Linked DNA regions of Alligator mississippiensis. The protein of the gene in region 4 binds, or shares a complex with, the protein of the main gene of each other region. Links are inferred from orthologs where the notes say so. Each region holds a gene or a part of one and is shown on either strand. Other genes may lie near its edges. The genes, in order: TAF1C, POLR1H, TAF1B and TAF1A.

Evidence for each region.
Region 1: TAF1A (region 4) and TAF1C share a complex: the UniProt entries of both Homo sapiens proteins name them as parts of the transcription factor SL1/TIF-IB complex. The link is inferred for Alligator mississippiensis from reciprocal best matches to the Homo sapiens genes TAF1A and TAF1C.
Region 2: TAF1A (region 4) and POLR1H share a complex: the UniProt entries of both Homo sapiens proteins name them as parts of the pol I pre-initiation complex. The link is inferred for Alligator mississippiensis from reciprocal best matches to the Homo sapiens genes TAF1A and POLR1H.
Region 3: TAF1A (region 4) and TAF1B share a complex: the UniProt entries of both Homo sapiens proteins name them as parts of the transcription factor SL1/TIF-IB complex. The link is inferred for Alligator mississippiensis from reciprocal best matches to the Homo sapiens genes TAF1A and TAF1B.

The regions. Positions count from the first base shown.
Region 1 is NC_081826.1:303,255,596-303,262,435, reverse strand, and holds the start of TAF1C (TATA box-binding protein-associated factor RNA polymerase I subunit C), read left to right. Parts: upstream 1-3,835; 5' UTR 3,836-3,850; coding exon 3,851-3,982; intron 3,983-5,582; coding exon 5,583-5,667; intron 5,668-6,023; coding exon 6,024-6,130; intron 6,131-6,599; coding exon 6,600-6,695; intron 6,696-6,715; exon of another isoform or gene 6,716-6,840. UniProt on the Homo sapiens protein: Component of the transcription factor SL1/TIF-IB complex, which is involved in the assembly of the PIC (pre-initiation complex) during RNA polymerase I-dependent transcription.
Region 2 is NC_081834.1:54,008,905-54,016,181, reverse strand, and holds the start of POLR1H (DNA-directed RNA polymerase I subunit RPA12), read left to right. Parts: upstream 1-4,270; 5' UTR 4,271-4,313; coding exon 4,314-4,443; intron 4,444-4,544; coding exon 4,545-4,645; intron 4,646-5,111; coding exon 5,112-5,221; intron 5,222-7,277. UniProt on the Homo sapiens protein: Core component of RNA polymerase I (Pol I), a DNA-dependent RNA polymerase which synthesizes ribosomal RNA precursors using the four ribonucleoside triphosphates as substrates. Can mediate Pol I proofreading of the nascent RNA transcript.
Region 3 is NC_081824.1:30,788,707-30,796,260, reverse strand, and holds the start of TAF1B (TATA box-binding protein-associated factor RNA polymerase I subunit B), read left to right. Parts: upstream 1-4,553; 5' UTR 4,554-4,610; coding exon 4,611-4,628; intron 4,629-7,554. UniProt on the Homo sapiens protein: Component of RNA polymerase I core factor complex that acts as a GTF2B/TFIIB-like factor and plays a key role in multiple steps during transcription initiation such as pre-initiation complex (PIC) assembly and postpolymerase recruitment events in polymerase I (Pol I) transcription.
Region 4 is NC_081824.1:182,344,718-182,352,077, forward strand, and holds the start of TAF1A (TATA box-binding protein-associated factor RNA polymerase I subunit A), read left to right. Parts: upstream 1-4,343; 5' UTR 4,344-4,589; coding exon 4,590-4,833; intron 4,834-6,403; coding exon 6,404-6,573; intron 6,574-7,360. UniProt on the Homo sapiens protein: Component of the transcription factor SL1/TIF-IB complex, which is involved in the assembly of the PIC (pre-initiation complex) during RNA polymerase I-dependent transcription.

The DNA.
Region 1 (6,840 bases), on a different chromosome or scaffold from region 4:
CAGCCGCCCCACACTCCCATGCCACCGTGGGCCTTTGCCACCTGACTCCAGCCTTCAGTGCTGGCAGGAAGGGCCTGTCCTGCCCCACACTGGTTGCAGCAGCCTGCCGCAGACGGCCCCTCTGCCCAGCAGCTCTGCCAGCCCCTCTCTCACAAGCAGGTCCTAGGACCAGAACTGCTCCTGCCTGTCGCTCATTGGCTGGATGAGGGGCCATGCGGAGAGGAGGAGCCATCTTTGCTCCCGCTGTCACCACAAGCAAGGCCTCTGCGGGAAGCCCTTCGGGGACAGACTGGGACTGCTCTGATGCCTGCGGAAAATGCTTGTGGGGAAATGATGAGGATTGCCTCTATGAGCCCCAGATGGGAAAGGCTGTGTCATGGGAAGCAGGTCTCACAAGGCGGTGCAAGGATCCACCATGTCCGGGCCGTGGCAGAGGCCGCCCAGCAGTGCACTGCCTGGCCTGGTGTGTAAGGAAAGGGACATGTCACTGAGCACTGTGGGAGAAGCCCTCAGGGCTGTCACTCTCTGGGCTCTCGGTGAACGCCCCAGAAGGGGGTTAACTGAAAGAGAACAGCCATGAGGATGCCCCTGGCGAGGCACGGGGCATGGTGCAGTGGACGAACATAGCCATGCAATTAGCCCATAAGGCAAAGACCATGTGTATCTGGTGGTCACTTAGGAAGAACAATTCAGGAAGCCCTGGGGCAGAACCTGTTGCCCCCACAGCAAGGCCAGGGACAGGGACAGGGACAGGAGCACCTTGGAACAGCAGAGTGGGCAGCTGAGCACGGAGCTGGGGGCAGAGGCCCCATGGGCACTGTCGGCCCGGGGAGGGTCCTTTCCCTGGGGGTCTTGGGCTGAAGCAGCTTTCAGCTGTGCTGCTGGACCACCTGTGCTGTGAGGCTTGGAGGCCTGTGCATGGGGGTCTGGGGGCAGGGTCTTCTCTGGGTGGGCTGATCGTAGTCTGAGGGTGGCATCTGTGAGTAGGGATGGGCCCTGGGCAAAGGTGTCTGTGGTGGGGCAGCTGAGGGAGAGCAAGGTGGTAGAGGGGGCAGGCTCACGGGTGTGGAGGCTGCTCTGGGAGAGGGTGCACGAGGGGCAGAGCTAAGTGTGGGCAGGGCCTGGGCTGGGCTTTGGGCTGCTCCGTGTTGGCCCAGCCAGGGAGGCGAGGGCCGAACCTGCCCTGGTTTGTTTGATGCCTCTTAGCTGGGCTGCAGCTGGGAGAGATGCTGGATGCTCCCTGGCGCTGAGCGCCCTGCTGCAGGGAGCGCTGGCACGTGTGCAGATGTGGATGCAGCCCCCAGGCTGTGCGCCAGGAGGCCTCCAGGAAGGGGACCGAGAATGAGCTGGGGCCATGCCCCTTGTGTCTATGGCTACAGACACGAGACCCCATCAGTCCTGCTCCACCAGGTGCTGCAGGCCTCGCTCCCACCGGCTCCCCTGCACCCAGCCCAGCACCATGTGCCTGCCTGCGCCACAGCCAGCGACACCCCACGGCATCATCCAGAAGTGACCCATGCGCCTGGGACACTTCACATTCAACAAGGTTTATTTGGTGCCTGGGTGACTCCTGCCTGAGAGGAGCCTCCAGGTGAGAGTGCTGGAGGCAGGGAACTCCTGGGCCCACAGGGGCTGGGGGGAGCCGTGTCCCTGCACCCACAGCTGGACTGGGGCAGTCTCTGCTGCTGAGAGTTGGAGAAGGAGTGTGGCCCCAGGGAGGGTGCCCTGAGGATTTGAGGGAGTGACAGAGAAGGATGATGCTAAGTGCTGCTGAGCACTGGGGAAGGAGTGCTGCCCTGGGGAGGGTCCCCGAGGAGGATCTGGGGGAGCAACAGAGAAGGACAATGCTGCCAGCTGCAGCACAGCACCCAGGTCTGACTGGCCCACAACTGTTGCATGCAGGGACTGGAGCCCTGCAGCTGGGACAGCTCCTGGCACAATTGGGGGGACTGGGAAGTGGGGTTACAGGACCCTGCTGGCCCTTCCAGGCCTCTGGATGTAGGCTGTTCCTCTTACTGGAAGTCCATGGAGGGGTCACTCCTGGTTGCTGTCACTTTCTGTATGACTGTGCTTGGCTGGTAACTTGTTTGTCAGAAACAGTTGCCAGGTTGGAAAGGGAAAGGAAAAAGGGCCTGTTGCCAGGTGTGAGATATCCCTGGCCAGAGTCAAGCTCAGTAACACATGCCTGGGGCTTTTGTATTAAGGATCAGGAAGGGGAGTGCATGTCACTGCTCTGACTGGAACAATCACAACACAATGTTATCTTTGCCCAGCTGGCCGCACTTCCTAAATGTAACATACAATCCAGCCCGCTCCCCTATGTGCCACTAACACTGCATTTTGTTTTGCTTTGATCTTAAGCTTGGTAAGGTAGCCCTGGGCCCCAGCACGTCAGCACCCATTGCTTCTCTTTACTGGGAGAAAACGGTGTGCTACGTTGATGCACCAGGCCCCTGCACCCCTCTTCAGAGCTCTAGACCCCCGCTGTGGACGCCATCCAGGGTGGAAGCAAGGAGCACGTGTGCTAATGCCTGTGCCAGACCACAAGCATCGCCCAGACAGGCTTTGTGGTGAGGGAGAGCTTGCGTGGGACGAGCTTTTGGGCACGTGGCCTTCCTTGGGCTTGGGGAAGCAGCAGGTGAAGCCACAGCCGAAGGCCAGGCCAAACCGCAGGCATGGAAAGCCATTGTCAGGCAGGTTTGGGAACCGTGCAAGAAGTGCAGGGTTTGGGTGACATCTGTGATAGGATCCGCAGATGTCCGTAGTGGCTTGTCCTAGAACCTGAACACGTTGCCGGCAGCATTCGTCACAGCTGGAGGAAGCGGGAGCACCAGGCCTTCACTGAGCCCCACCACAAGCTGCGAGGGTGCGGGGAGGGCAGTGGTCGCTCCCGGGCAAGGGGAGCTCCTGGCTTGGCTGCACCCTGCTGCCGCGTGCGCCGGGGGCGGGAGGCACGGGGTGCAGGGGCCCTGGGCCTGTCTGTGCCCCTCGCAGGTTTTCCCCATGTGTTCTTGGCTCCAATACTGTTCTTGACCTGAAACTCCTCCTCAGCTTCCCGGAGCCTTTCCACACCCCAGCACCCTGGCCCAGCTCCAGGGTACAGGCCGTCCTGCGTGGGGGAGGGCCAGGGCCCACTTCCTGCCGTGCAGGGCACCAACCACTGCCCCCCCAGGGGCTCTTGTCTGGATGAGGGACCTGGAGCAGCTTGCCCTGCCCTGGGATGTAGGGGGGCACCACAGCCGCTGGGGGGGCACCCCCAGCTGCCCCCCAGCCCCCTGGGGAGGCACCCCCAACTGGCCCTGCACCCCCCCCCGGGGGGGCACCCCCAGCCACCCCACGCCCCGGGAAGCACCCCCAGCCACCCCATGCCCCCTCCCCCGAGGGGGCACCCGCAGCCGCCCCATGCCCCCCTGCGGGAGGCACCCGCAGCCACCCCACGCCCCCCGGGATGCACCCGCAGCCGCCCCACACCCCCCCCGCGGGGGCACTCGCAGCCCCCCCCGAGGGGGCACCCGCAGCCACCCCACGCCCCCCCCCGCGGGAGACACCCGCAGCCGCCCTCCCCGAGGGGGCACCCGCAGCCGCCCCACACCCCCCCCGTGGGAGACACCCACAGCCGCCCCACGCCCCTCCCCCCCCCGAGAGGGCAGCCCGGCCCGGCCCCCTGGGAGCTAAAGCGCACGCCGGCTCCGACGCTGCCGTCCGCCAGGGGGCGCTGCCGCGCCGCACTTCCGAGCCCCTTCCGCGCGGCGCGGCGCTCTGGCCGGGCGCTCTATGGGCGGCGGGCGTTGATTGGTCGGCGGCCGCTCGGGGGCTACATTGTAGCGGCGGGGCGGGCGCACGTGGCGCGATGCAGTTCCCGGCGCCGCTGTTCCCGGGGCCGCACCGCGCCGGGCCCCCCAGCCGCGAGCCGCCCTGCCCCGCGCTGCTCGGCTGGGGCGGGCGCGGACCGGTGCTGGGGGCTGGCGCGGAGCCGCGGCAGGTGAGTGTCCGTCCGGCCCCGCCAGCCCCGAGCCTGCCCCGGGGGAGGCCCCGCAAACCCCGGCCCGGCCCGGGCCCGGGCCCGGGCGCGCCAGTGCAGACCAGTCCGACCGGAGGAAATCTTTCCTGCCCAGCGGGGCGGGGGCAGGGCCGCCCCCACCTGCACGCAGCGCCCCGGTGGCAGGGAAGCCCCGACGCGGGACCGGCAGGAGGGCAGTTCCCTTCCCGGCAGCCTGGCCTCCGGCGGAGCCCGGGGCGGCCGCATCCCTGCTCTGCCCTGCACCCTGGGCCCCGCCCGGCTCGCGACCCCTTCCTCTTGTCCCTTCTGCTCTTGCGTGTCCCAGCCGCTCTGCACTGCAGGGTTCTCGCCTTTGCCATTGTCCCCCTCCTCTTCCTTCTTCCCCTGTGGTTTCCTCGCTTCTGCCCGTGTACCTTCTCACTGACCTCCTGTCACACGTTCAGCTTCTTTCCTTCCTTGGAGGTCTCCCAACAGCAGCGACTCCCTGTGCCCAAAGACGCGTGCTTGTGCCCGAAAGCTTGCAGAGAGCTCGTTTTCCTAGCTACTCAGTTGATGTAATAAAAGATAACACATTACCCAAAAAAGCTTGCCCGCCAGCTCCTCCAGTGTCCCTTCCTCTCCTGTCTGGCTGTGAGCGTCGCTTCGTTCTCCTGCTGAGCACAGCCCCGCAGGGAGTGCGCGCCCCCTGCCCTGGGCTGCAGCCCTCGGCCCACGGTGTCCCAGCAACTCGTGTGGCGGCCCCGTTGGCTCTTGTGCCCCCCAGCGCTGTGGGCATTGCTGTTCCCAGCTCGCTCGCGACCAGTGGCTGCCCAACCCCTGCGAGGGCACCTCCAGTGCTGGAGCAGCCGCAGCCTCCCTGGGCACCTGTTCCCCCGCTCCGACTAGGAAGAAGTTTTCTCTGAGATCCAGTCTAAATTTACTTTGCTGCAATTTCAAGCCAAGAGAGAAGCTGCTTTCCCTCTCCTGCGAGGCAGCTCTTCAGGTGTTTGCAGGCTGCTCTCGTGTCCCCTCTGAAGCAGCTTTTATGCAAGCTGAACATGCCCAGCTCCTTCTGCCTCTCTTAGGACTTGCCTTCCAAGCCCTTGAGCATTGCTTCTGCCCCTCTCTCACTTCTCCACTTCCCTTTTAAAATGTGGAGCCCAGCACTGCAGCCGTTATCCAGAGGAGGCCTGACCAGGGCCGAGCAGAGAAGCACCATCACCTCCTGTGTCTTGCACCTAATACGCGTGACAGCCCAAATCACAGTGCTCTTTTGTGCAGCTGCACCATGCTGCAGGCTCATATCGAGTCTGATCTATCGAGTTCCCCCCCACAATCCTCCTTGGCACTGCCGTCCAGCCAGGAGTCACCCAGTTTGTCACTGTGCTTGTGATGATTCCTCCCGAGGGGCAGCCCCTTGGACCGTTAGCGTTAACCTTAAGTGGGGAGGGAGTGCAGGCCCAGTGGAGGGCCCTGACCCAGTTGGGGAGTGGAGCTGCAGCCCCGGGCAGCGTGATGGGCTGGGGACAGCTGGGGACCAGGGTAGAGGTGCCCCCTGCAGTGGGCAGGGAGCTGTGCTGATCCATCTGTCCTGCCCTTACAGGGGTTCGTGCCGCTTCGCAGCGAGAAAGGCGAGAACTGGGAACCTGCTGATGCCGTTGCGGTGCCACTTCTGCCTCCTAACGCTGGTGAGAGCTCAGATCCTGCCTCGACCCCCAGGCCAGCAGAGCCAGAGATTGCCAGAGCACAAGGCCCTGACTGGCAGGGTCCTCCTGGCCTTCATCCCCTCCAGCAGCAGGAACTAGCTCCTGACCTGTGGGCTCCCCTGGGCAGTCCATCCCCGGGTACTGCCAGGGCCTGGGGGGTGCACGTGCCCATCCCTCTGCCCACAATTGCTGGAGGTTCCTTGAGCAGCGCTACATGGCTCCCTCCCCTCCCTGTGCCCGGGGGCTTGCACTGCACTGACAGCCTGGCCTGGTGTCCCGTCCCCTGTCGTGTCCTCTGTCCGTGTCCTTCTCTCTCCCCCCCCACTTCTGACCTGCAGGCTTCAGGGTCCTGGCCGTGACCCCCCATGACATCCTCTATCCGGGGCGGGTTCGGAGGAAGCTCCAGGCAGGCAGGACTGAAGCTGCCCTTGACTTCACCAGGCAGGTGAGTCCTTGCAGGCTGGCTGCTGTACCCAGCACCTCCGGTAGCCCACCACATGGCCCATGCCCTGGCAGGGGGGTCTTTGGGAAAGCAGCAAGTCTCAGCGCTCCTGTGGGCCCAGCCCAAAAGCCCCAGGCCTGGCTGGGCAGAGGGCCACTGAGCTCACTGCCCTCCTTGGGGAAAGGCGCTGGGGTGGAAGGGGAGCAGGGCTGCCCTGGGCAGGAGAGGGTGTCAGAGGATCCAAGCAGACCCACGCACCCACGTGGGGATCCAGGATGGCCATGCTCTGCCCACCAGGCTCTGCGCAGTGTCTCCCTGCAACGAGGTTTGGGAGGAGGGGGCAGGGGGCTTCAGCTGGGGCTGAGGCCACGAAGACACTACATGTGCCCAGCTGCCTGCTTGGGTTGCCCCGGACTCCCGTGTGCTAGCCAGACCCTGCTTGGGCCCCCTGACCCTGTGCCCCTCCCTGCAGCTGGCACACTTCTTCCTGGACCACCCTGAGGACGCGTTTGGGGCCATGGGCCAGCTACTGCAGGAGAATTTCCATCTGGGGGAGGCACGGCTGCGGGTGAGTGATGGTCCCTGCCCATCCCCAGGGACAGCTGCCCGCCTGGCTTGGGCCAGGGGGTAGGGGCAGCCCCCATCTTGCTGCCCCTGCTTCCCTGAGCCCCTGGCTCCTAGACCCCTGGCAGCCTGCTCTCCCCAGCTGTGAC
Region 2 (7,277 bases), on a different chromosome or scaffold from region 4:
AGCCTTGACAGAACTATTATGAAATTAAGGGAGATACCCAAGAGTCCCCAACTGAGCCAGCTGGTACCTCTTGTATCTGGCTGGCCCCAGTCTTGCACCCCTGAGCACTACATTATGGCCCTCTGACCCTATCAGTGCCTAGGGTGGCCATCATAAAGGACAGTCCGGTTGTCTTCAGTCCTGTATTGATACAAAACCAGATGCTTTTATGTCCTCTGTTTTTCTCTTGAAAAGAAAAATAGAGGACATAAAGGCATTGGGTTTCATATCAATAGAGGACAGAGTAGCAGAAAACTGGAATGTCCTCTCTGATGGCCACCCTATCAGTGCCTCAGGGCACCAACTGCCTTATCAGCTATATTCATGGCCTCCTTCCTCCCCTGTAGCCACTCCTATGCCTCACAGATGTTACTTGATGTTCGTTTGGAAGGGCCCCCTATCCCCAACCCAACTTTTGGCCTTCGGGCCCCAGACTTTTGTCAAAGACTCAGCCTTCCCGGCCTTGCCCCGTTTATTCTGGATGCACCTTTCAGTCCAGGTCTAGTGCCCTGGGCCCCTACCTTGTGCACTCTGGGCCCTGGGCCCCTGCCAACTCTCACACTCTGGGCCACCCATCAGCCCTTTGAGTCCCCAAACCCAAGCTGCACTGCTCTCCCTCTGGTCTTGGCCCTCTCAGCCTTGGCCGACTCATTCAGCCCTTAGCTCTCTGGGTCCCTGACCACAGGCCAGGCTGCTTTCATTACCTGTGGCCTCACCCTCTCAGCCTTGACTTAACTCACTCAGCCTTTAGGCCTCTGGGTCCCTGACCCCAAGATAGGCTCCTTATTATTGGCCAGCCAATCCATGAAGCAAATGTATCTGACCATAACATTGGCTATTTTTCTCTGTAGGAAGAGATGCCACTATCTCCCCATTTTGGCTCCCCCATGTGTTCCCCGCCACAGACAGAAAAATTATTTTTGGCCCGTCAGATCTGCAGGGGGGCTTGTCACAAATAATAAGCAATCCCAATAAAACTCAGAGTCCCCCACCACTGCATCCCCCAGTTGGGAGAAGAACTACACTAGAGCCCAGCATGCTGCAACAAGGACTGTCCAACAAGGGGCCCTGATGTGATGGCCTGACTTTGCAGAGGGCTCTTGGCCCTGGATCTCCTTTGCCACAAGCAGAGGTTGGATCACTTTATTTGATGGACCCTGAAGTCATTCCAGGTGATGCCAAGTGCAGTCCTGGGCTCATATAAGGGGGTCTGCGATTGAGAGATACTCACCCTGGATCAGAGTGACAGGCGAGTAGGTCTAGCACCTCACCCTCCTGTCAGGGCTTCTCAATCAGGCACAGGATTAATCACCTACTTCTCAGGTGACAGTAATAGTGAAGGTGACATGTAGCAAGGAAGCAAACCATGTGACAGATTTTCAGTTGACAAAAACTGGATGGGTAAAATCAATTCTGCCTGTTTCCAGTATCCCTCCCTTGCAGAAACGTCAACTGCCTCATTTGGAAATGAAGAGTCACAGGGTGCTGTTTCACACGCTGCCATTCAAAACAGCTACAGAGACTCTAGAATCTAGATACTTGTTCAATAAGAAAGGTACGAGGACAGAGAGATCCCCTACATCACAGGCCAGGTGCTGCCACAGCTGGCTCAGCATCTCCAAGGTGTCAGAGACATTAGTGGAGACACATGGCAGCAGAAGGGCTTATTTTGCTGTTTGTGGCATCACATCCCTTCAGCAAGAGGTGCTCTGGCATCAGGGGTCCCCGTCCCTCAGCAGAGCTGTACCCAGAGACATCCAGCTCACAGGACTGGTCTGGTGTAGACTAAGCCTTGCACACACACCTTCATGGGCTCCTAGGCCAGTGGTTTTCAACCTTTTTTTCATTTGCAGATGCCTAAAATATTTTGAACGGACATGTGAACCACTTTGACCTGTACATGTGTGTATTCACATGTGGTTGATTGATCAGTCATTTTTTGTGTACCCCTTAGACCAGGCTCGTCCAACATACGGCCTGCGGGTCACCATGCGGCCCGCCAAGCCATTTTATCTGGCCCGCAGCGGCGGCAGCACTGCCACCACTGCTGCCACGGAGCGCAGAGCCGCAGTGGTGGAGCGCAGAGCTGCGGCGGCGGCGAAGCACAGAGCCGCCGCGTCGGGGCAGCAGCGAGGCGGGAAGGGCAGGGCAGGGCAGGGCCGGCCCGCAGGCCCCAGCCGGCAGTGAGGGGAGGGGAGCTGCTTACCCCCGCAGGGCCCAGCTCATCAGTGAGCCGGGTCCTGCTGCAGCTGCCCCGAGGGCTGCACGGAGTGGGGCTGCCCCAGCCGCGCCTGATTGGATGAGCTGGGGGTGGGCTCCGCCCCTTGCCCCCGGCATGTGGCCTGGGGAGCTGCAGCATGGTCCACACCCTGCCCGCATGCATGGCGGAAGGAGGCACGAGGTAAGTTCCTGCGCAGAGCTGGAGGCGCCTCAGGGCCAGGCTGGGGTGGACGGAGGAACAGAGTAAGTTCCTGCATGGAACTGGGGGCGCCTCGGGGCCGGGCTGGGGCGGACGGAGGCACGGGGTAAGTTCCCGCGTGGAACTGGGGGCGCCTCGGGGCCAGGCCAGGGCGGACGGAGGCACGGGGTAAGTTCCCATGCGGAGCACACCCATTTCATTGTTAATTCCTGCAACTTCATTGGTGTCAAAGGTCACGTGACATCACTTCCTGATGTGATGTCACTTCCTGTGAGGTCTTTGAATATGGCTCACTGGCCCACTGGATGATAAAATGTTCATGATCCGGCCCCACATTCAAAAAGGTTGGACACTCCTGCCTTAGACAGTCTGCCGCCCCCAAGGCATTTGCAGACCTCAGGTTGAAAACCACTGCCCTAGACCCAGACCATGGCGGCTGACAGCTGGTCACCATGTGCCAACATGCAGGGCTGCCAACTGTGTTTGAATCAATTCAGGTTTCTGGAACACCAGTGTGCCTGCGACACACAATGCAAACATGCCTGTGCGTTTGCGTTGATCAGTTATGGATTACAGCGCATAGACTTTACGCCAGAAACATCAGCAATGCGTAGGGCGTGCACACGGGTGCACGTGCATCCCCTGAGCGTGGCAGTGCACCCCCTGTGAAAAGCCTGCTGTTGGTCGCTGCTCGCCATCCCCCCACCCTCGCTGCTGACAACCAGCGGCATCTATGGGAGGTCTGCAATCGCTGCTGGCTGCTGCCGACGGTGTCTGCGGGTGGTTGAACACTGGTCGGCGTCTCCTGCTCCCTGCTGCTGACAACGCTGCGGCTGCCTGCGGGAGCTGCACACCCGCCTCTGCCACCCTCCTGCCGCCAACAGCGCCGCCGCTACCACCTGCAGGAGCTTGCCGTGCCCCCCAGCCTCCGCAGGGCACATCGTTCATGGTCAGGAAGGCAAATGCACTTTCCTCTTACATTTTAAAAACCCACTGGACTACTGCATATATCAGATTCAACATTTATTATTTATTCCTTTCTCTTGGCTCTATGGTGCAAGGTCAACTCTTGATTCAGTGCAGCATATTTGCTTCTAAGGTTTTCTTTCCCCGTCCTTGCCCCTTCCTAAATTTAAGTGCCCCACGTGATAGTATTTCCCGCCTTTTCCCTTGGGGAAATGACTTCACAAACTGCCCCATAGCATTTATCTCCTCGGGGGCTCTCAGCCGGCTCCTGGACCTGTGGTTCTCAACCTTTGTTGTACCAGGACCTGTTTGTAAACATCAACTTCAATGGCCCCTGTCCCTCCCTCCCCGCGGCCCCAGGCCCCAGCCCCCAGTCTGTGCGGTGGGGCAGGTGGCTGCAAGCACCGCCCCCCCCCCCAGCCTGGAGCTGTGCCCGCCTGCCAGGGGAAAGCCCCGGCTTCCCTTGTTTTTCTCCTTTAAAGGAGACTCCATTGTGAAAGTGTCACTTATTCATATATAAAATAATAGATATAATAAATAGATATAATAGAATAGTAGATGTTATAAATAGATATAATAATAGACTCTTGCGACCCACTTGGAGGCCATGCCCCACGGGGTGACTAATGAGCTAATTAATTAACTAGCTAATCCCTGGAGACTCCAGCGCACACCGAGAGGGTGAGCAGCGCACCGCGGAGCGAGATGAGCCGGAACTGGAGGGGAGGGGAAAGTGGAGGAGGACACTAGAGCTGGACCGGAAAGGAAGGGAAAGGAAAGCCGCTGCTCTGGATGGAGACGCTCTGTCGCGCGCGCTTCCTTTGCAGCTCTAGTGCTCTGGCGGACCGGGAGTTGCCTGCTCCGAGCGCGGCGGCGGCGCGCGTGCGCCATGGAGCCGGCGCCGTCCGCCTTCCGCGCGGGCCCGGACTTCTGCCCGGAGTGCGGCACGGTGCTGCCCCTGCCCGGCGTGCAGGACCGCGTCACCTGCGTGTGCTGCGACTTCGCCATCGCCGTGCGAGGTGGGCCGGGCCCGGGGCTGCTCGGCCCCTTCCCCCAACCTGTGTCGTGTCCCCCTCCCCCTCCCACCCCACAGTTGTTTAATGACCTTTCCCCCCTGCAGACTTTGAAGGCCGCCTGGTGCAGTCATCCGTGGAGTTTCACAGGCCCGGGGCCACGGCTGTGCCGGCGGGGGGCGATGGGCAGGAGGTGAAGGGCCCCGTGGTGAGTGGGGGTCTCTGCGGGCGGGCGGTGCGGCAGCGTCCTGCGGCGGGGAGTCCCGCAGGTTATCGCCCCGTGCGGAGGGGCCTCAGCGCGCCGGTGACGTCTGCCCCGTAACCCTGGGAGCCTGCCTCGGCTCTGGTGACCCTTTCAGATTGATGGCACCAGGAGGGGTGTGAGTTGAGACCTACCACCTCACTTATTGGCCTCCCTCAGGCAGGAAATCCCAGAAATTAAGAGCCAGAAGGGACCTCAAAAGAGCGAGTCTTACCGCCCCGGCGCCCCAGGCCCGTCGTGGTTCCCGTGGCCCCTCTCTGCGCCCGGTCAAGATTCTCCGCGTCCTGTTTGACGCGCGGTGCCCAGAACGGGGCCCAGGGCTCCAGCTGGGGGCTCGCCAGCACCGAGTAGAGAGGAAATACTACTTCTTCTCTAGTCGGGAAAGCTGACAATTGATTCCTTGGGATTTCAGATCGACCGGAAGTGCCCCCAGTGTGGCCACGAGGGCATGGTGTATCACACCCGGCAAATGAGGTCGGCAGACGAAGGGCAGACTGTGTTTTACACCTGTGCTGAGTGCAAGTAAGGAGCCATTCGTGGGTGTCTTTTATGGGAGGTGGGGGAAGGGAAGAGGAAAGGAAAGTTGCAGTCCGTGGAGTAGCAGCTTTGTCCTGGAGCAGCCTGGATTTTAGTTGTTTCATCAGTCAAAGCTGAGATTCAGATTTTCACCAGAAACCGTGGGCATTTTTACACACGTTGTGGGATGCAATGCTGGGTGCTTTAATTAGCAAGCCATGCTAATTAAAAGTGTCTGTGCATTGCATGTATCAACATCACCATGCATCGCTACTCTGAAAAAATGGCAGGGCGCTTTTAATGACAGCTTATCAAACGTGCTTTTATTCAGACCACTCAGCCACCATTTTTTCAGCATGGAGACATAGCGATGCTGATGCACGTGGCACGGGAGGCTGCTGGAGCACGTCGATTTTTGTGTTCCAGCAGACTCAGTGAACTAAGTCTGCTCTGACACGCTGGCTTTCCAGTGCATTGGAGCAGGCTCCACATGTCTGTATAGGAGCCCTGTGACATTTCAGTGAAAGAATTTCGAGGCCAAATTTAATAATATCTTCTCATTGTGTAAACAGCAAGATATTTATTCTCTCTTTGAAGGTTTTTTGGTGACCAGTGAACATCACTGGTCACCTAGAACTTGCGTTCTCAACCTTTTTTGTACCAGGACCCATTTTTAAACATTGATGCCCAGTCCCCCAGTGTGTGGGGCACGGAGTGAGTGGGTGTGGGGCACGGGGGGGCCCCAGGCAGCCTCTTGCAGGCTGGAACTCTGCCAGCTTGCAAGGGAAAAGCCATAGTTCCCCACGTTTTGCTCCTTCAAAGGAGAATCCATTTTAAAAGTTTGTTTACAACCCTTTCATATATTCATGTGACCCACTTTTGGGTCACGACCCATGGGTTGAGAAATGCCGACCTAGAAGACAGCATTTCTTACCCTTTTGAAAGTTGAATTTGGAATGAGGCAAATGGTCCAAAGCAAGCCCACAGTGGAGACACCTTAATTTAGCCTTCTGCTCCCTTCCTCCCCATTCCAGCCAGAGGTTTGCATTCCCTGCTTTTCCCCACTGGGAAATAGTGGGTTCATGGCACAGTCCTTCTCCTCCTCTTCCTCCTCCTCCTCTTTCTTCCATGCTTTGGGAATGGTGGACATAATTACCATAGAATGATCTGTCATTGGCATCTGAGATTGAACCCACCAAGATGAAGGGAGGCAGTTCGTATCTGAATGCGACATCTGAGCTGACTGGCACAGCGTCTCTGCAGACTGGCGGGATCACTGCTTCCTATGTACTTTCTCAGCTACAGTGAATAATCAAGAGACCAGTTTGCCACCCCACCTGCAGATTCTTTAAGCCTCTGTGGGGAGATTTGCACCAGTCCTAAAAATTTTGCCTTCAGAGCAACCAAGGACCAACCTATCAAGGACAAGATGGGCCTCAAAGGCTGCGTCCATGCATGATGTGGACGTTTGTCTCCCCAGGAACAACTAGCAGGGGCACAACTAGCAGCAGCAGCACGCCTTGCACCACTGCTAGTTGTCCCCAAGGAATGCCTGTGTTGTGTCGCGAGTTACCTAGGGGTGGTAGGGGAGGCTGGGGCCTGCATTGGGCTGTCCCCAGCAGTCTTTCCTGGGGGCCTCCGAGGACTGCAGGAACAGTGATTCTGGCCGGCAGCTGCAGCGTGGCTCCGGGCAGCCCATCTCCACTTCTAAGCGAAGTGCACTACCCCTGCGTGCACTGCTCTACCTTTTTGCTCCGCAGATTTTTTTGACTCATGGTCAAAAAAACCCTCCACACTGCTCCCTTGCAGTGCGGAGAACAATTAAACGTGCCGTATGTGGCATGCAGATGTCTGCAGTGCCACCTACCACACAGCCGCTTTCATCTGGGCATAGCCAAAGGGTTTATCTGCTCAGCACAGGACAGTGCTGCACTGAGGGGCAGAACTTACTGATGCACTTACAAGTGCCACCCTAATAATCTGTTTCTGCACCATGGAGAAAATGCACCACGTAGACGAGACCTCACATATTTTATCTATCAATAAATTGAAGCTAACAAAG
Region 3 (7,554 bases), about 150 Mb from region 4:
TTATGGTAGTTCCTGGCACTGCCTTGATGTCATTGCAGGTTCTGTTTTTCATGTGATGGCTTGACAAAGAAAAGGTGCCATGCCGCAGTTCTGTTCCTTTCCCCAAAACATGGCAACACAAGAAGAATTTATCTTAAAGGAGCTCAATCTGAGCATTGGGCAGGGAACCACTGCCCCCACACTGAGCTGCTCAATCTTGAGTGCAGAGGGTTGAGGGCCACCCCCTGGACTTTTCATCCCCTTCGGGCTACTTGGCCTTTCCCCTCCTCGTCCTTCCCAATTGGCTAGTTGGCCACATGTACCAGGACCCCAGGGCATTCCCTGCCAGGCCTTTCAGGGCTGAATGTCATGGCTGTCCCCTGTTGGCGTCATTCAGAAGCATGGCCGCACTGTGGGGGTGCATGAGGTTCATGGGCCATCCCTCCAGGGCTCACCCTTTTTGGGTCCCCACTGGGTTGCACTTTCCCATCCCCACCTCTCCTTTAATTCCTCATGTGGTCCCTCCGCTGTGACAGTGAGTGAGTTTGTCAGAGTGTTAGGCTGTCCATAAGGGGGACTGAGAGGCTTGGTGTTGCCTCTGGGCCTCAATCCTCTGTGGGCTGATGGGCTCCTCTGGGTCTGTTGGGGTCATCCAGTCCCAGAGAGTATAACCAGCTCACAACTGGCTGTGGGAGCTGCACCTGGGTTTTTCCCAGTTACCTCCTGGCCGAAGCATGCACGCTCCACTTCCCCAGGCTCACTGGCCAGCAGGGGAAGCGTTGGGTTGCTTCCGGGGGTGAGGAGTGCATCCAGCTTCATTCCTGGCATCCACACATGTCCTTCCTTCCCCTTGGCTGCTCTGTTCATGGCCTGGCCACCTGGGCTGCAGTGCCAAGGTAAGCCAGGCAGGGCCTGTCGCACATTACACACAGAACACCCCTCCTGTCGCCATAACACCAAGTCTCCTCTGCCTCCAAGTTCAAAACTTGCAATTAAAATATACATTTAGCATTTAAGTGTTGGTGTAAATGTTCAAAGGACTGCACAGTGAGTAATTCATGAATGCTTACAATACCCCTATGCTGCAGAAACTGCCATGTTGGATTGAACTGGTGCCCTATCACCAAAAGAGGACACTAGCAGATGCTTTAGTGGCAGCTGTAAGAAAACCCTGCAGTGGACATTTCTGGGATAACCTGTCCAGAGTCCCATCACTTAGCTTGCGACCTGAAGCAAGAGGGCTTATAACTCCTCCAAACACTTTTTTTTAAACCTAACTGATGTAACTGGATTTTTTCATCACAAAAATGCCCAACTTCTTTAAATCCTGTTAAATTCTTAGCCTCAGTGATTTTTTTTGCCAATTAAGTCCCATAATTTTGAGGTAAATATTACTGTCCACATTTTACTGTACCACAAGATGAATCAGTGGCAGGTCCAGGGGGGTAGCTCAAGGCCTCCTGACATTTATTTTATATACAAACAACAAAAAAGCACTGTTGCTCACCTTGTATATGTGGTAGCCTGTCTTCATCATCTCACACCTGTCATTCCTGTCCTGCTTCTCCCACTCCCATGCTTCCGGAGGTAGCCTGGTAAAGAAAATGGAGAGGCACCAAGGAAAACATTAAAGGTGAGGTTCCTCTACAGCTGTGAGGACTCTTCCTGGAAAAATGAAATGCAAACAGGAGTTTATTTCCCACAGGACACAGCTCTTGCCCAGATCTCTTCCTCCTTCCCTTCACCCTCAGCTATTGGGAAGTCTAGCTCTCCTGGGGTCACAGGACTTACCCCTCAAAGCCCAATTTCCATTTCTCTTCTTATAGTCTTATCCTCATAAACTTCTCTCTCAAACACCCCACATCTCTCCCTCCTTTTCTCCACTCTTGATCTCCAGGGGCAGCTGTCAATCTTGTTGCCAGGAATTTCTCCCTCCCTCCCACTCTCCTCACCCCCAACCTACCTTCTCTGGGAATTGCTGCTGCTCTCTTCTGCAGGCTGGGATCCCTGCACTACTAACACTGATTTCTCTCTACCTCAGTCCCCAAAGTTAGGGGAGGAGTAAAGCTACCTGGTGGAGGAACCAGCTGCCTGAGCTGGACTTGGTAATCAGGTGGTTGCCCACAAATTTGTCTTATTCCTGCCTTTCCCCCTGGGGGCTGGAGGCCACCCTGGCAAAGAAGTGCTGCAGTCAGCCGGCAGTGAGGGTTAGACAGGACACAGCAATGGCAAAAGTCACTGGGATTTTGTCTAAAATTAATTTGCAAGCTCTTTAAGGCATTGACCATGTCTGCTAAGGGATATAGGATGCACAGAATGTTTCAGAGGCAGGCCCTGTTGTAGGGTCTGATATAAAACTGAGCCCATGACGTTTCAAGAGCAACAAATTTGACACTGATAAAAAGTTGGGACTTACTCCCACAAGGTTTCAAGGCCAAGATCTTAGCAACAAAGGCCACCACAAAGAGAGGGTAGGAAGAAATTCCCCCTTTACAGTTAGTTATTGTAATTCTCTATTATGTGATGTCTTGCAACTTCTGATGCATTTGGGACATGGGTTTGCTCATGCATTGGGCCTTGCTGTTGGTAAGAATCAAGGGTGGATTAAGGGAGGTACATTTGTACTTTCTCCCCTTTGATTTCTGCTCTACCCAAGCTTTAAAGCCAACTGCTTAGGAGGGGCAATGGCATTTCTGTTCAGGCAGCACTGAGTCAATTGACTTCATGGCTCACTATGATCTGATTCCTGTTAATGTCACTTAATTCCATAGGTGTTAAGGACCCACTCTCCTTTTTAATGGTCTTGATGTTCTGCTATCCAAAGTATCCTTTCTTCTGAATTTTGCTCCAGATAAAGTCTCTCTTCTATCTCATTGCCCTGCAAACTGTTTTTTAGCTCTACCTAAAAACCTTAACTGAGATATATTAACTCAGGACTGATGGTGAAGTACTGGAAGCACTCTCAAGACACTCAAGAAAACTAGATTTTGTTACAAGTCTGCATGCTATGTACGTCTAACTATAATAACTTCCAGACTAATGAAACAATCTGTTTTGACTATCTGGATCTTTGTTTTTGGCCTAGTGTCTGCTGTCTTTTAAACTTAATGTATAATCTAGCAAATTCAGGCACATGCTGATAAAGTTATGTTTGCTTTTACTTTGATCTTGAACTGAATAATACAGTGCTTAGGTCCCAAGCCTGTTAAGAAAGTTTCTAGTCTCTTTTAACTGGAGAAAAATGTGTGTCATGAACAAACTTCACAAACCTACTGGATACAAAAAGTCATGGACACACATTAACAACCTGTCCGACATCTGATTCACCAGATACCTCCAGACCTTAACATTTACACTTTTCTTTTTCCCTTTTCCTCCCCTCCCCTCCTTTTCTACCCTTTGTCTTCCTAATTTCCAGCTATTTCACAGACTGCCTCTTTTCTACCTTGAGTAGAGTCTCCCTTATTTACTTTTGGCATTATTTCCCCCTGACTTCCCATTGTTTCCTTAATTTCCACCTATTTACATTCTCACTGACATCCTGGCACATTTTTAGTTTCTTTCATTCCTTGCAGATCTCAGGACAGCAGGGACTCCCTATGCCTGAGTGAAGAAAGATACTTGTGCCTGAAAGCATCAAAAGAACTTTTTTCCAACCAATAAAAGTTATCACATCTCCCCAAAGAAGCTTTCCTGTCATATTCTATGTGACTAACCATGCACCTTCACCCTCCCCCCACCCTTCAAAATCCTAGATCCACCCTGGTAAGGATAGGATGGCCATTGAGGCACCTCAAGAGCAGAGGACAACCCCCCCCCCCCCCCCGCCATCACCATGAACCCCCCCCAGTCCCCCCCACCATGTCCCCACCACCATGAACCTTGCGTGCCTCCCAAGGCTGAGGGCACGGTGAGCTCCCATAGGTGGTGTTGGCAGTGGAGACGTGTTGGCAGTGGAGACGTGTTGGGCGATGCGTGGGGAGCTCCTGCAAGCAGCTGTGGCAGTGTCGGGAGCAGGCCGAGCAGGGAGCTCTCACAGGTGGCCACGGTGGTGTCAGTGGTGGGCTGGGGATGGTGCTAAGCAGTGAAAAATAGAGGACATAAAGGCATCGGGTTTCATATCAATAGAGGACCAGAAAAACAGACTGTCCTATACAAAACCGGAGGAATGGCCACCCAGCTGCCTGTGCATCACTCGGGCGTGGTGTTTGGGGCAGCATCTAGATAAGGGTTGAAGTAGGATTGCCAGCTCTCTGTGAATCTGCTCCCGGAGGTTTATGAGGCAATGACATTAATGAAGGCAAATGCATGTTAAAAATCCAGCGGCCTACTATCTAAATCAAATGCAACATTCACTACTTATTTCCATGAATGCCTGAGCATTTATCTCCCGGGTGACTCTCAGTGGTCGGTCTCGTGGGGGTTGATTTCTAAACCCTGGAGGATTCAACCCTCGCTTGAAAACGACTCTGTTGCCCAGGGCCCAGGCGCCGCTCGGCGCTGCTGTGCTGTGCTGTGCTGCGATGTGCGCTGCTTTGCTCTCGCGCGCGGCGGCCGGAACCCGAGTGCTCGGGGCCGGCGCGGGGCGGGCCGCGCTGCAGCTGCGCAGCTCGGCCGGGGGCGCCGCGGCCATGGACGAGGAGGACACGGTGAGGGCGGGCGCGCCGCCGGGCCCGGGCCCGAGCTCGGGCCCGAGCGCGGGGAGCGGGAGGGGAGGGGAGGGGAGGGGGCGCCGGGCTCGGCTGCGGGAAGGGACCGGCCGGGACAGCCTTGTGCTAGGGCCTGCTTGTGTGTGCCTCTCTGCACATGCGCACGTGAGCCCGTCTATACACACACACCCTGGGTGTGTGCAGCACAAGTAATACACATACACACATCAATATAACTGTGCACGTGTGCAGCACAAGTAATGCACATACACGCATCAGTATATACTATATATATGTGTATACTTGTGCTATACACACACACTGTGTGTGTTTCGAGACAGGAACACATGTATCAGGTACATGCCCACACTGATGCACACATTGGTCAGTTTATACACATATTAATCGTGTGTGTGTAGCGCAAGTAATACACATACACACATCTGAATATATACTATACGTGTATATATACTTGTGCTATACACACACTGCACACGCAAGTGTGTGTATGTATCTGTATACACATACACATTGGTCAGTCTATCCATATATACTGTGTGTGTGTCTATACACACAAATTGTGTGTGTAGAACAAGTAATACACATACACACATCTAAATATATATATGTGTAGATATACTTGTGCTGTGTACACACTGCACACATGAGTGTGTGTGTATCTATATGCATCTACATATGCGTACACACATGCACACATTGGTTGGTGTATACAAATAGTTTCTGTGTGCATTTATAAACACATATATACAAACATATACATACATCATACATACCTGTGCTATATATACTCCATGTGTGCATATGTATATAATATCATATCATTATATATACACTCATGCCTTGTGTGTGTGTGTGTCTGTACACACATAAACCATGTGCATGCATGTGTGTATTGCAACTCAGGCACGTGTTTCCATGCGGAGTGGGTGGCTCTGGATTCTTGGTTCAGTCCACCATACGCTGTTTCTGCCACTCCCGCTTTTCCATCTGTTGTCGTTGTGAGGTTTCAAAGTACAGAGACTTGCAGCAGACTCTTCCTCCATTTGGGATGGTCCTGGGCAGTGGTCTCCCACGAGTTGATGTCCGTGTTGCATTTCTTCCAAGTTGGCCTCGAGGACTTCCAAATCACACACCTGCCTCGTCCAAGTGCTTAAATCTTCTTGTAACTGCTGCCTTCATGCCAGTTCATGACCAGGAGCTTCCAGGCCTCTCAATCCTGCTCCTGTCATCGCTAGCAGGTTGCTGAAAAGCCTGAAAAATGTGCTATCGCCGTTTTCATGGAAGATGTCTGTACATGATTTCTTTTGTTATGGAGAAGCTCCTGCACATCAGCTTCCACAGAGTTCTTGACAGAATGAGACCTTGATCCAACGGCTGGGAGGCCGAGACAGTTGGAGATCTTGTTCCACTGTGGCCTTCATCTGCCCTCGCAGCCACTGAGATTTTAACATCTTCTGCCTGCTCTGCTGCTAAGGACTTGTAGACCCAAGGCTGGGGGCTAGACAGATTTATTATAGCAGTGACCTGTACTTGCCATGTCACAGCACCATCAGAGGTCTTATGTGGCTTTTCAGGAGGGAGAACATTGCCATCTGCTGTCCCCACCACATCCTGGTGGTGCTGCTGCTGCTTGGTCTGCAGCTGCTTATTCATCAGAGTTACCCCTGCTTCTTTCAGAGCTAACCTTCCCTAAAGGTCATTCCACTATCTGCCACCTGTGGATGCACTGGGTCGCAAGACAGCTTTGCAACTGAGAGGGATGGCCTATGATGATCTCACACACATGCGGACGTGCACACACTTTGTATGTGTGTGTGCTTACATGTATAAACTCTGTGTGTGTGTATATATGCATGTATAAACCGTGTGTGTGTATGTGTACTGTTACCCAGTTAACAGATAACGTTGTGGGTAAGCTACTGATAAAGGAGACAGGAACAGGTCTACAGCCCAACCTTTTATTTGCTTGCACTCTAAAACATGAAAACAAACATTTATTGTTTCACTGAAACTTTTGGAACTGGACTGAACCACATCTCTTGTGGACTTAGAAGGTGTCGTTTAGTTAGGATTTACATACTTGGGAAAGAGAGGGCGGGTTTCTTATCTCCTTTCCTTCCCATTGTGGAATATTGTTCAATGCTGACCTGTTTCTTCTTAGTTTATGGTCTTCTCTGACAAAGCTGTTTTTGTTTTTACAAATTATTTAAGCATCTTAACAAAAATATATCTATTACTGCAAAATAATAACATCTAATACTTTTGGTTACATTGGTCACTACTAATATTTTTAAGATAAAGCTATGATACAGTGTATATGGACTATTTAATGCACGGACTTCCCTTATCTCCTTTCAGGGTTTGTGCTTTATTTAATTGTGCTTAATGGCTTCCTTTATTTGCAGACGTTCTCACATCTACAAAGATTCACAGGACAATCACTGAGAAATGGACTTTGGGGCCTTCTGCTTTGCAGTACTTCTCTAGCTTGGCTTAGGCCCCTTGCAAATGGCCGAGGTTGGCAACAGTACATGTATAAAACATGCGCACGTGTGTGTACATATACTCTGTGTTTGTACGTACGTATATAAGCCTCATGTGTTTGTGTGTGTACACATATAACCCAAAAGACTCTCTCTATGCCTGAAGAAGGGTGTTTGTGTCCAAAAGCTTGCAAAGAACAAATTTTCCAACTATTTAGTTGGTCAAATGAAAGATATCACATCTACCCAAAGAACCTTGTTTACACGTATAAACCGTGTGTGTATGCACACATATAAACAGTTTGTGTACGCACACAAACCTTGTGTGTGTACGTATAAATACACTGTGCATACTCATGTATTTATGCACATCTATACCATGTGCTCACACGTGTGTGTGTTGCAGACTGTTAGCTGTCATA
Region 4 (7,360 bases):
TTAGCAACAAGAGGAAGGTCAGGGAAAGTGTGGGTCCCTTAGTGAATGGGGGAGGCAACCTAGGGACAGATGAGGAAAAGGCTGAAGTACTCAGTGCCTTTTTACCTTGGTCTTCACAGGCCAGGTCAGCTCCCAGACTACTGCACCAGGCAGCACAGTTTGGACAGAAGGTGAGCAGCCCTCAATGGTGAAAGAACAAGCTAGGGGCTGTTTAGCAAAGCTGGACGTGTACAAGTCTATAGGGCTGGATGCAATGCATCCGCGGGTGCTGAGGGAGCTGGCCGATGTGATTGCAGAGACACTGGCCATTATCTTTGAAAACTCGTGACGAGTGGGGGAGGTCCCAGACAATTGGAAAAGGGCAAATATACTGCCCATCTTTAAGAAAGGGAAGAAGGAGGATCCAGGGAACTACAGACCAGTCATCCTCACCTCAGGCCCTGGGAAAATCATGGAGCAGGTCCTCAAAGAATCCATGTCTAAGCACTTGAAGAAGAAGGTGATTAGGAACAGAAAGCACAGATTCACCAAAGGCAAGTCAGACCAACCCGATTGCCTTCTGTGATGAGATAATTGGTTCTGTGGATGCAGAGAAAGCTGGGGATGTAATATATCTTGACTTTAGCAAGGCTTTTGATACTGTCTCCCACAGCATTCTTGAAAGCAAGCTGAGGAAGTATGGGTTGAATGGACTGTAAGGTGGATAGAAAGCTAGCTGGATTGTCGGGTTCAACGAGTAGTAATCAATGGCTTAGTATCAAGTGGAGTGCCCTAACTCCCTGGCGCTAAGTTTGTTTGATATCTTCATCAACAATCTGAAAGATGGGATGGATTGCACCCTCAGCAAGTTTGCAGATGACACCAAGCTGGGGGGGTGTAGTAGATAAATTGGAGGGTAGGGCTAGGATTCAGGGTGACCTAGACCAGCGGTTCCCAACCTTGGGCCACGACCCAAATGAGGGTTGTGGGGCCAATGCCGGCAGCGCTGCACACAAAGGACAAGCCATGTCATGTGCTGGGAGCTCCATCACCCTGCCCTTGGGCTGCTGCCGCCACTGCACTCCACTACAGCTGCGGGTCATGGCAAACAAAAGTTGGGAACCACGGACCTAGAGAAATTGGAGGATTGAGCCAAAATTAATCTCATGAGGTTCAAAATAAGGACAAGTACAAAGTCCTGCACTTAGGACAGAAGAATCCCATGCACTGCTACAGCCTGGGGACAGTGGCTAAGCAGCAGCTTTGCAGAAAAGGACCAGGGGTTATAGTGGACACGAACTATAGTGGACACTAACTATGAGTCAGCAGCGTGCCCTTGTTGCCCAGAAGGCTAACAGCATACAGGTTTCCCTCGCTTTATGTTGGTTCTGTATGTGCAAATTCGCTCTTACGTGATGATCCTTTTTATACCAAAATTTGTTATACGCAAGGTAAATTCACTCTTATGCGATCGGTGTGGTGGAAGCCCACAGTCAGCTGCTTTGTGCAGTGTGTTGTGGGAGTGACATGCACCAAAATATCTATGCTCCTTGCTCATTGTCTGCACCCTGTGTTTCTGTAGTTGCCATCCTCATTATGGTAACATTCACTATCACCCTGTGGTTGTATATACTGTCTGCTGTTGGCGAGTACCAAAATTGTCTTGTAAAAGTAGTAGAAATGGGTCTGGAGGTCAGTATAATTGAGGTCTTGGAAAGTATCCTTATTTATTATATTGTAAAGTGGGTTCATTTTATGCAAATTTGAGTTATGCACCCTTTTCCAGGAACGTACGTATAGCATAAAGCGAGGGAAACCTGTACTGGGCTGCATTAGTAAAAGCATTGCCAGCAGATCGAGGGAAGCGATTCTTTTCCTCTAGTCAGCACTGGTGAGGTCACATCTGAAATACCATGTTGTTTTCAGCCCCCCACTATAGAAAGGATGTGGACAAGTTGGAGAGCGTCCAGCAGATAACAATGAAAGTGGTTTGGGGGCTGGGGCACATGACTTCTGAGGAGAGGTTGAGGGAACTAGATTTATTTAGTCTTCAAAAGAGAAGACTGAGGGGGGATTTGATAGCAGCCTTTTACTACCTCAGGGGTGGTTCCAAAGAGGATGAAGCTAGACTGTTCTGTTGGCAGATGACAGAACAAGGAGCAATGGTCTCAAGTTGCAGCATGGGAAATTTGGGTTTGATATCAGGAAAAACTCTGTCGCTGGGAGGGTGGTGAAGCACTTGAACAAATGACCTAGAGAGGTTGTGGAATCTCCATCCTTGGAGGTTTTTCAGCTCTGGCTTAACAAAGCCCTGGCTGGAACGATCTAACTGGGGACGGTCCTGCTTTGAGGACTAGGGGCTGGAGTAGATGACTTCCCGAGGTCCCTTCCAACCAAAATTTCCTATTATGGAAACCACCTACTGTACCCTGAATGTTGGCTAATGACTCAGGTCAAAGGGGATAACAGGTGAGTCCCTATTCTGTTCCTTACATGTGTCCGCAGACCATCTTCCTGCTGCTCCTCCTTGACTATTCATATTTGCACAGTGGCCCTCTCAGTGTACAACATCCTTGTTCTACTCCTCACACAGATCCAGAAACCATCTATCATTTCCACACCTCATGCACAAACCCCACCCAACTCCTCCCACACCCAGACCCTCACCATTTCAGTCCTAGACAAGACCACCAAAACTGCCTCTCATTTCAATCCACTTCTTTCCTTGCCTCTCCTCCATTCAGCTCCATTCCAAACACGAGCAAGTGTATCGCAGAGATGTTGATGCTCTTTGGCTAGTCCCCTCTGCTGTGTATTGCAGTAACAGAACAAGTTACTGCCTTTTCAATCTATTATCACATTCTAAAAAACAAAACAAAACAAAAAAACATGGATCCTTCAAGGGTCAAAGCTACCTTTGTAAAAATTGCTTTTTTTACTCAAAAACTACAAGACAGCTTTAAAAAAAAATCTTCCTGCTATACCATTCCTTTAGATTCCTACACTCCTGACCTGTGGCCTCCAAACATATTCACACATCATTTTGCAAGTACCCTTAGTCAATTTTATTCTCTTCTTTCAAAAGTAATTCTGACCTATGCAAGTCAGGTAGAGAGGACCAGGAAAAAAGCAGGTAAGACAAGACCTAGTGAGAGAAGTAGAAACAGGTGAGAGAAGTAAGAGGCAAGAATTGTTATAGGTGACAGCTTTTACTGGATCAAGCTGCATGTCTGCCATGCATCTATGGCCCTGATTTTGTAAATACTTATGCATTTACTCAACACATGCCTCCAAAGTAGCTGGCAGCACTATTCACAGGTGTAGGGTTGCCAACTCTGAATCTATTCCAAGAGGTTTCCGGAATGCCAACATGCTGGCAACACAACACGGATGTGCCTACCTGCTTCCATGTATCAGTTACATAGACTTCATGTCAGGAAGGCAAATGCAAATTACTATTACATTTTAAAAACTGGACTACCATGTAAATCGGATTCAACATTTAATATTTATTTTAATGAATGCCCTGTCATTTATCTCCTGGGGGGCTTCCAGTAGCCTCCTGGAGATTTATATCTAATCCCTGGAGACTCCAGGGCACTCCTAGAGGGTTGGCAACCCTACATAGGTCCAAAGTCTATAAGCATGCATGTATTTTCACAGTGGGGGACTTACTTCCCCTGTACTGTGCTCTTAGCTATTCAGCTCCAAGCTGCTGCTGTATGTTGACTACTCGACATTTCACTGGTCTTTATATTATTGATGAGCAGTATTTAGGAACCATCACTGTGATGTTAATAGCATTATTATTATTGCTATAATACTAATCATTATTGCTATAATAATTAGGACCACAAGTATATTACTATTAAGCATATGATCACTTACTATTGACTAATACGATTTATTTCCTTATTATGGCTAATAAGAATAATATTAATATCAATCACATTAATATCAATATAATTCATATGAATAACAACCACAATAATAATGACGATTAGAACGACAATAACAGTAATGGTATATATTATTATATACAATAGTACTTGTTATATTAATATAATATGAATTATAAGCATGCTACAATAATTATATTATTATTATATCAATAATAATAATAATAATAATTGCTATCTCCTCGGTGTGCAGACCAGATCAGACCGAGCCTCGGCCTTGGAGCCCGCGGCACAAGCCGACCCATAGCTGCAGCTGGGGGCGCAGGATCGGGTTCCAGGGGTGGGAGGATGGTATGACCGGAAACCCGCGCCTGCGCACTGAGAGTCACCTCAGCTCTCGCAGGGAACAAGCAGCGAGACCAGGGTCCGGTCACATGACCGGATTGGCTCCACGACACGCCCCTGCCACAACGCTAGATGCCGACTTCTGAGAAAACAGTGCATGAGCACCTCGCGTCTCTTCCCCGGCTGCACTATCCCTCTGGCGAGGTCGAAGGTCATTCTGAAGGTGGCTCCGAGGCACTGCTGAAGAAAGCTTTGCTTCCTTTTTTTCAGAGCTAACTGACTTTGCTCTTGATAACGGTAAAGCCACTTGATGTCGGTGCCCGGATTAATTTAAAGACGTAGTTGGTAAATAAGGGCGTGGGTCACATGATAGGTACTTTGAGGTCTCTCGCCAGGAACAAACATGGTCTCCCGCTTCTAGTGGGCCAGTCGCGTCCTGTGGGACCGCGCCACTTCCGGCCGGGCGGGGTGCGGGACTGGTTCATTCTCCTCCTCCCCGCTGCCGAGGGCATGGACGGCTTCGTGGAGCAGCCGGCCCCGAGGGAGGAGTGGGGCAGCCTGGCCCCGAGCATCCACCTGCCCCTGCTCCCGTGCTTGCTCCATCACCCAGGTAAGTGGTACTGAATGGGTTGGGCCCAAAGGTACAAACCAGCCCTGCCTCATGGTGCTCCTTGATTTGGCACATGCCTGCACACACATGTACAGGTATATATACACATGGACCTGCACGTGTGTGGACCCGCAGGTGTGTGCACCAGGGTTTGAATTACAAGGGAGCTTGGGGGGCTGAGACCCCCCCCCCCCTCCCCATAACAGGCAAGAGCCCCCTGTAAAATTTGAAAATCATAATCTGGGGAAGGGAGCGGGGGATCATAACCTAGGGATTTTATTAGGGCATCATGATGGGCAGCCCAGGTTTTTTTTGCAGAGGCGATGTCCAGGCACTCACTAGCACACCTCCCCCCCCCCCCCCCATGCTTTTTCAGGTCCAGGGGAATCAGAGTGGGGGCGCAGCCCTGCATGGGCAGATTTGCCCCAGTCAGCTCTGCTCGGGTCAGCTCTGTGTGCAGCACACGTTGTCTGGACATTGCTGCGTGCATGGAGCTGGTCTGGCATGCATTGCATGTGGCACCTCTGCTGCTCTGGATCCAAAACACTGGGCTGGTCCAACATGCGTACTGCATTCAGCGCTCATCTCGGACTGGCCCTGCGCACCAGACTGGCTCCACACATGAACATGGGGCTGGTTCAAGACCTAGGAACTTGATAGAGCTGGCGCTAGCACATGCTGGGGACCCCCTCCTCCCCTAGTCAGCAGTCGGCTGCTGGTGCCTCCCTAGTATCGGGAGGCACCAGTCACCCATGAAGTTGGTGTACACTGCACAGAGCTGGTCTGGGGGATGTGTTGGCTCTGGCACATGAGGCTGGTCTGTTATTTCAAAGCAGATGAAAACACAGTCTTTGAATACAACTATAGACCACAATACACTGTGGTTATGCAGTTCATGTGGGAAATCTGTCCTGTTTAGCCGTGGTCCTTTAATAGTTTCATATGTAGTGCTCATAGTGTAGGAGGAGGAACAAACTCTACTACGTGGGTCTATCAGTTTTGCGCTTCCTCATCAGAAAACATTGGTGCATTCAGGAGGCACACCATTCAGACTTTAACTGCCACAGGTTCTATATGGGCTGCAGCAACAACGATTCAGTTTGGGCAGGGGCCTAACCAGCCTCTTGGAGCCCTTGCGTAGGGAAGCTGCAAGTTTTCTTCGAGCTTAGTCATAGTATAGGAACAAATTCTCCCCATCTCTGCTTCAGTTTACAATCTGCTTAAATAAGAGTTTTTAATTTGTTTGTACCAGCTACTTGCATTTTCAGTTCTTTAGGTGAGCACTGCTTCTTAACACAGTTATACTTAGCTGAAAGAAGTTCTCTTGGTTGAGGTTTCTAGGTGATCATAGTACAATATCTTGCAATGTAGACCTTAAATAAGAGAGGAGATGGGCTCAGAGGAGAAATCCACTGTGTTTTAGGAAATATTTGAAGTTGCATTTTGAAGCATGGTTTCTGTCTTTTTCATCTCCTTTGGCAGAGTTTGCCCTGGACAAAGCTAAAGGTAGTAAAGTGATAGTTACATTGTTACCCTCTCTTATTTGTTAATCCTATTTTTTTTTTTTTAGTAACTAGGGGTCCAAAGGAAACAGAATTTCAGAAAACAAAGGAAGCTTGTTTAAACTACATTCAAGATGCCCTGTTGCAGAACCAGTGGCAGAGGGCTGCAGAGTTCATGATTAGCTACTTGGAGATATTGGAAACAAGTACAGTGAGTAAACGGAAAACTGCTCCAGAGGTAAGATAAAAAGAGGCTGTTACCAGAATTCACTTGCTGTTGATGGAAATAATTTAAAAGGGCATTTGAAGTAGTTCATGATCCATACTTATGTCTTATTTGTTAAAAAGAAACCTCAAAGCTTTACAAGAACATGTGTGCATTAGAGAGGTTTTGGGGTTTAGGTTGTAGCTGTGTTGGTCTAAGGACATAGGCAGACAAGGTTCCTTGGGTGAATTTGATATCTTTTATTAGACCAATCCAAATGGTTGGAGAATAGTTATTAAGCAAGCTTTCGGGTTCAAAAACCCTTCGTCAGGCTAAGGAAGCTTCAGCAGTTGGTGTGTGCTCTTTTGATTACTCTCTAGGTATCCATACCAACCAATACATTTGGAAAACAAACCTCTAGCATATAAAACAGTAGAGATATAGAACAAAGTTTAGCAGTTCAGTACAACTCATGCATGTCCCTGGCAGAGGGGGCACAAAACTGCACCCTGCATATAAGCAACCACAGTTCTGTTGCACAAGTATCGGGTAGCAGACCACACAAAACTAGACCCTGTAGTTGCTAGCAGTTAAGGGGTTTTATTCAGGTAATGTGGAGCAGCTTGGGAGCAGGGGAGTTGTCTAATGTAGCAGCAGCCTTTTAAGGCTTTGGTCTGGATTGGCCCAGTTGGAGTCAGAGGCAGGCAGGTGGATGAGTGGCTACTAGGACCCAACCAGCACTGGCACTGTTCCCTGTGGCAGCAGAGAGGAGGTGCCTCTCCAGTGTCTGCAGGCATTGTCCAGACTGGGGATTAACAGC